2 linked regions of the Tribolium castaneum genome follow. The main gene of each other region encodes a partner of the protein of the gene in region 2 in a complex. Links are inferred from orthologs where the notes say so. Each region holds a gene or a part of one and is shown on either strand. Other genes may lie near its edges.

What was found.
Region 1: the proteins of partitioning defective 3 homolog B (region 2) and Pten are in contact, whole or in part, in an NMR structure (PDB 2K20), measured with the Rattus norvegicus proteins. The link is inferred for Tribolium castaneum from reciprocal best matches to the Homo sapiens genes PARD3 and PTEN. Residues at the interface, in NP_112514.1 of Rattus norvegicus: Ala599, Gly600, Leu601, Gly602, Val603, Ser604, Val605, Lys606, Gly607, Asn608, Arg609, Ser610, Lys611, His614, Lys622, Ile625, Met659, Leu662, Arg663, Met666; in NP_113794.1 of Rattus norvegicus: Asp393, Glu394, Asp395, Ser398, Gln399, Ile400, Thr401, Lys402, Val403.

The regions. Positions count from the first base shown.
Region 1 is NC_087399.1:159,263-163,667, reverse strand, and holds the start of Pten (phosphatidylinositol 3,4,5-trisphosphate 3-phosphatase and dual-specificity protein phosphatase PTEN), read right to left. Parts: upstream 3,000-4,405; 5' UTR 2,444-2,999; coding exon 2,398-2,443; intron 2,326-2,397; coding exon of another isoform or gene 2,184-2,325; intron 1,020-2,183; coding exon 771-1,019; intron 543-770; coding exon of another isoform or gene 523-542; coding exon 1-522. Other genes in the region: uncharacterized protein LOC103314152, read left to right, coding at 140-542, 2,184-2,325, 3,955-4,405. UniProt on the Homo sapiens protein: Dual-specificity protein phosphatase, dephosphorylating tyrosine-, serine- and threonine-phosphorylated proteins.
Region 2 is NC_087395.1:16,312,625-16,315,222, forward strand, and holds the end of partitioning defective 3 homolog B, read right to left. Parts: intron 1,220-2,598; coding exon 925-1,219; 3' UTR 753-924; downstream 1-752. UniProt on the Homo sapiens protein: Adapter protein involved in asymmetrical cell division and cell polarization processes. Seems to play a central role in the formation of epithelial tight junctions. Targets the phosphatase PTEN to cell junctions.

The sequences.
Region 1 (4,405 bases), on a different chromosome or scaffold from region 2:
CCAAAACAATCTGCTTGATGTACATCGACACAGGCACATACAACAACTTGTTCCTAAGCAGGGTCTCGTAGTAACGGATATATCGCACTTGGCTGGGAATGGTGACCCCTTTGTGATCTTGCGTCCGTGCTTGTCCGTAATGGTCGAGGGCTTCGTCAGCGGTAGCAAAAGCTCCACTATGCAAAAGGTAACAGCAAATCATGGTCCCGGTGCGCCCTTTCCCCGCCTTGCAATGAACTACGGCCACGTTCTCTGGATCTTTGCTCAGCCAATCGTGAACGCTGTGACAAAACGGCTGAATCAACTCGATTTTGGGCGGGTTGTGGTCGTCGAACGGAAAGGTTTGTACTCGGTTGTGGAACTTGGACGTGTCGTAAGTGCGTTCCGAACACAAGTTGTAGATGAAGTAGTGGTTGTTGTGTTTCGAATCGAGGAGCTTCACCACATCGTCGATGTGGTTGCGGTACACGCCTTCGATGTTGGACGCCGGGTAACCCATTGCTATTATGCTATCGGTTATGTCTACAAACGAGTCAAGGAAAGTAACTAAAAAAATATTTTTAAAAATAAGCTTTTATTTAAAATCTGCACTAAAATCCCTTAGAGGGTGATTAACTCTAAACAGTATAGCATTGTCACGGAAATTACGTATGTATGCAAAATTTCAGTTTATTTGGACAACAGAAACACAGGCAACAAAGCATTAATTAAATAAAAGCTTTTAAAAACAGTACTAACAGAATTATTTCTTTTAGCATTGAAAAGGATACATGTCAGGTCGAGATTGAACCCGTCCTGCTTGTATCGGATCCTCCTCTTGCTGACCAGCCCCCGTATAGGGTTGGTGATGTTCATATTGGGGAAAGATGTTGCCATATTACCTGAAGAGTACGGTCTTGCGTTGACGTGATTTTGAACAGGCAAATGCCCGTTCAAATTGTTCGAACTTGTGGGCTCATGTGACACATGAAGGGGTGTAACGACTGAATGTAGTTGGCCACATATTTTCGACGATTTATCTGATGCGAGAGAACAAAACATTACATATTGCAATTCTATCGGTTGCAGATATGTATAATCTTATAGTATGTAGTGTACTCCCCCACTAAAAGGACTTGTCTTTATCTTATCATTATTTTATTATCCTTCTGTCTGACTATTACGATTTTGTATTCTACCCACTTTATTACAAGTCTAGAGGTTATGCAATATCTGGACGAAATACAAAAAACGGAGGATGATAATGGTAATTTATTATCAATGGAAACAGAAGGAATTACAATTTGTGCAAATATTTGGACATGATACGTGACCGTTGACATGTCGGTTTCATCTCGTTTTATACCTGCAACTTAATAATCAAAACGAAAAACGCTAATCTTAATTGTAGTAATCAATTTAAGACACTTAAAAAAATCGTAAATTTTGGGCCGAGGCGGAGCCGAGTACTTAATGAGTATTACATTAATTTTTCTCGTAACAGGTACTCAGTATCACATTTTAATAATTCAATATCTCAAAATCATAGATAACGATGCGGCAGATAAAATTTACTCATTAAATTAATTTCGCTCACATTTTTATGAACGGAAATATTTAACAGTGGATGTAATTTCGCACCAATGAGCACACATTGGCTTACATTTCAAAATACTTGATCAAATTTCACAACAAAGCAAAGAAAAATCTTTAAAAAAAATCGCTTGCATTATTGCATCAGAACAAAGGCGTGATGACTATTATGACATGTTCATTGGCACCAATTACAATTAAAAAAATTAATAAAAAAAAGGTAATGTTATAATAAAAATCAATGTTGACCCAAATATCAAAACCGGAAGACGATAAGTAAGCGACGCCTAAATTGCGTAATTTTGTACACATAATAATATTCAACTGTCAAAATAGCAACAGTCACGTGATATATGTCAACAAATCCGGAAGCGGGTGTTAAAATTATCCCCGATTTGAATTTGAGCTATTTTTGTGCGACTTGACAACAACGCGTCGTTTTAATGTCACAAGAAGACCATGAACCGTTTCATCGTTGCCGAATTTTGTCCCCAAAATGAGCGAATGACTGAAACCGATTTGATAGAAGGAAACGTGCCTTGAAAGTTTCCTAAATTATCCATTAAATGGTTTAAAAATAACTCTGCATAAACAATTTAAATCATGAATAGTTGATGCCCTTCGCAGGCCCGGCAACAGTCCGGCGACCTTCAACCCTTTGGAAGAGGAGCGAGCCGACCCTTGGGGGGGTTCGGGGCGCAGGACTGTTTACACGACCCAAAGCGGAACTATTTACATATTGCGACCTTCAAGGTAATGTTATCTCGGTAATATTATGTCACTGATGCGCGTTTCTTGTATCCAACCCTCCAACATGGGGCTTACCTTTAAATCGGTCCTTTGATTTGCCGCAGCTGGAGCACAGCCCCATAAAAAAGTCTCGGCAAAAGTCCACGAAATGTTGATAGCTCGTGCGCTGGCGTGCGTGCCTACCATTGAACCCTCGTGTCCGCTGTGTCAGCCCCCGGGGCGCAGCCCCTCTAGAGGCCCTTTAAACGGACAGTGCCTCCGGTGAACAATCACACCACATGCGTTCCACAGCCGTCCTGATTATAGACATCACGCACTCGTCCCCATTTCGGAGGCCGGGGCTGCTCTGAGCACCTCGATCAAGGGATTCAAAGCCGGTTTGGGGCTGTTTTCGGACTAAATCGCTGCCACACTCAAACGTCTTTGTCTTTTTTACGGCACTACACGGTCTGTCGACACAGATTCAGTCAATGTAGACAACTACATCGCGTCGACTGGTGTCAAGAATTCCGATAGAGGGCGCGCAAAAGACCGGGAATTTCATAATTTCACGCGAATGAATGAAAGAAAACCGCGATTTCCGGACGAATTCTCTCATTAAAATTACGATTCACCGCTAGTGACATTTCAGAGGATTGCGAAACGATGACTGAACATTCTACAGACAAGACTTTACATACAATCACAATTAATATTTATGAGGGGACTTTTATAAAAGGAATGTCACGTGGAAAATGGTTCCCAGAATTTGCACGAAATTTCAAGAATCGTCATATTAAGCCTTTTATCAGTAATCAAATATTTGGCGTTTGATTAATTCTTTTCTACTCCGATAGATAAGCGAATAGAGGTCTGGGCAAATACAAAAATCAACCAGAGACTTCATGACACCCACCGATTGATTATTATGTCATATGACAAAACTAATAATCCACACCGTTAGTTCATTTATCGACTCATATACTAATTATTTCAAAATTACAACCCTGCTTGTAACGATTTTCCTACATTTTTCTAGCATTTGTGATTTAAAAACAAAAATGTAAATAACATAAGACATTTTTAACGCAATAATCTAGAAGGCATCGATCACAATCAATTTGTCAATTAATTGAAAGTGATTAATTATTGCCACATTTTTTTTACATTTAATTAAAAATTAACAACGTAAGTGCCCAAATTTGATAACATATTTAACACATAAATTAACTTAAAGTCCGATTCATTTTAATGGCATAATGGGTAACTTTAGAAATTTAAACTTTAGTTGCGAATTTTATCTTAGTTTTTTATTTAAATAAATTTAAAAAAATCGACGTTTGAATAGTTTTCCAAAAATAACTGCAACTTTTTTCTTGAATATCTGATTTATGGACGGAGTCAAATTTACAAAATGATTTATTATTCTACGCTTATATTATCAAAGCCTACTCTTATTCCAGTTCAAATGAATACGACTTTATGTTTTCTAACGAAACCCACCGAATGAAAATGATATCATGTTCACAATCTCTAACCTCGGAAAAACTCCAAATTTTTCCAAGAATTTTCCCACTTCCATGCTTATACTGGTCCAAATCATTTTTTTCATACATTTTAATTTTTTTAATTGTTTGTTTTAAATGCTTCTAGGATGATGTATGAAAAGAGCCTGGCTGAGACTTTAAAAAACCTGTGCCTTGACCTTCACCCTGACCCATTTCCCACAAAAACATACAAAAAAATCGTCCTCCAGTTAAAAAAAATCACAACTATTATGGAAGAAGTAAATGAGCGTAATGTTTGCTGCATTAGCGATATTCTCACCAAAATATCAGACGACGTTGTTGTTTTCACCGAAATATCCGAAATGCCAAAAAATTGGTTAATCCCAAGCGTTGAACTTTGCAAAATGTTAACACAATGGCAAGTTCCGAAAACATTCAACAGTCTTTTACAAAAACTGCTAGCCTATATCGTAATTAAGCTGAGTCGTTGCACGAGTGAAGATGCAGCTTCAATTTTGAATGACTTCAAAGAATTAAAAGTTTGCATTTTTACTTATCGAAAAAACTCCATTTGGAACAACACGAAACTGGATGAA
Region 2 (2,598 bases):
CGAATTTTTTCGGGCCTAAATTCTGTTGTTTGCGACTGACGTGAATGGCGAGTTGGGTCAGTGGAGGGATTGTAAATAGGGTAATTCTAACAAGTGTATGAAATTGTAGATATTGGATTTTTTATTGAGGAAATTAGAGTAAGGATTATTTATTTCTGTTAGAGGTCCCGTGTGATAATTCGCTCAAAGTTCTGGATGATGGCTAACCTGTGTAGGTTGATAGTCGGTTCGCTTGCCCATCCGATTCCAGTACAGCCGCAGCAGTCTTTCCGTTAACTAAACCAATGTTCACACTCACAGCTTCTTCACCGTAACCTCTTGAGAAACACATTCAGATTACTGTTCTTCCCTAGAGACCGAACACACGTGCAGAGTTTTTATTTGTGGACATCCATACGTATTTCGCTGTTAGTGATATTATAGACTATGATTTTTTATACTTATTTATTTCTCATTTGTTACCCATACCCATCGGTTCGCATTGCCATCATGAATTAGCTTGTTTATGATTTAGGTTAGTCATGCCTCTGCATGTTGTTCATTATTATTGCTCACATTGAGCAAGTGTATATCAAATTCTATATTGAATGCTACGGAGACTTTGCATTTCAAGCTCCCGCCAAACACCTCAGCGCTGGCTCTCGAGTGCTCGCCACTCCCTCAATTACATAATTTCATTTAAGTTGTGTTTATTTGTATTGTAATATCACCATTCTTTATTGTATACCTTATTTAAATAAAGATGCAATACGGACAATTTTGTAACTGTATTTCTTGTTTGTATAAAATTCACTTTCTTATTATACATATCATAAATTATTTACAATATAAAATAAAGCTCGTATATACAGATAAAATGGACGCGGCGCTGAAACAGTTTCATAATACTGATGATACAAATCACAAAAAACAGTTTCAACACCTTTACACTTTAGTCCCGTTCTGTTGGCTATCGCCGATAGTCACGTGGGTCACAAAAGGCCCTCTGTGGTTACGGTTCGGGTGCCGGCCTTGAACGGGTGGTTGGCCTTGCCGAGGGAGGGAATTGGAGTTCACGTCTTGGTACATCACAGGCGGGTTACTATGGGGCACCGGGGGGTTCCCCCGACGGTTGTTAAGCATCGACTGGATACTCTCGTACTCGTAGAAGTTCGACACGGGACGAAGCTGGTTGTCGGTGCGGGTCTGGCGCTGGGAGTGGTACTGGTGCTGCTTTCGACTGATAAAAAATGTGACGTCACTAATTTAAAATTACAAACACTTTTTTTAAGTGTAAGGCCAAAGAGGACAAAACTTAAAATCTAAAAGACAAATATTTATTTAATTATTACAGTATTTGCCGCGAGTGTAAGAAAAGCGGAAATACAGAGTGATCTAAAGAGACTGTTTCACACTGCAACTAAATACAGTTTTCCAATACTTTTTAATTGAAGCTATTCTTTTGTAATCAAAAGATAAATGGTTTAAACACATTCGACAGTGGATAGCTATTGAACTCATATTAGTAGGATATGAAGCGTAAACTATTTCTTCTATTGTTTTTTTTGAAAAGACGTAGTTTGATCTACATGTCATATAAATAAATTGTAGTACCACCAGTGGAAATAAAATGTTTGTTAAAAAAAAGAAAACATCGATAGACTGAGTCAATAGTCGGTTAGTTCTGAATTTTTTAAATATGCAACCAACAATACTGATTTAATTAATGTTTTGAAAAATCAAACAAAGTATCCAAGTAGGAAGTGCAATTAGTATTTTTGGTTGCATCTTAGGACATGTCAGAAATAACCCACTATTGACTCACCCTGTATACGCAAGTGATAATCTGAACTATGTCACAGGAACTGTTGTATTATTTGGTATCTTATTTTTTTTCGAAGTCTTCAACAATTCTAAGACCGAAGGTAAGTTTGTATCTTGCTATTTCATGTATTTTATTTGAATTTTTTACACTGACGGCAATCAGTCAATCTCCAGTAACTATAAAATTTATATTTTGCGCATTTTCATTTTAGGAAAATTTATTTTTGAACTCCTACTGAAAGCACAACAGAAAGGTAGCATAGTTACCTTTTTCGTTTTTCTTTTTGTGAATGAAGTTATTAAACAGGGGTGTCCAAATGATCAAGAAAATAGCATTATATTAGAAAGTGAAGTAAGCCCAAAAATCATAGTACTTCGGAATGAAAGAATAAAGAATACAGAGACTAATATTACACAGCAAGAAAAATCTAGTCAGCTGTGAATACACAATTACTTAGCCCATCCAAAAACTTCTGAAAAAAAAAAGGACCAACAAAAGAAGATACGAATTGAAAAAGACATCGAAAGAGGAAATTAAACAACAGAAATCTGTATAATTAAAAATTATTTGCTCAATCTGCCTAAAAGAAATACAAGGAAGGTTATTCCTAACATTTGTGAAGTATGAACACTTCTTTCACAACCGTTGTGTTCCCAGATGTCACAAGGAACACATTATCGATGATGAAAATCAAGACTTACAGCATCCCTATTATAGGGATGACAATAGTGAATGTTGGCTGGATAAGTTAATATATGTCGATGAGGAAGAAATAGAAGCAAAAAGTGATAAAA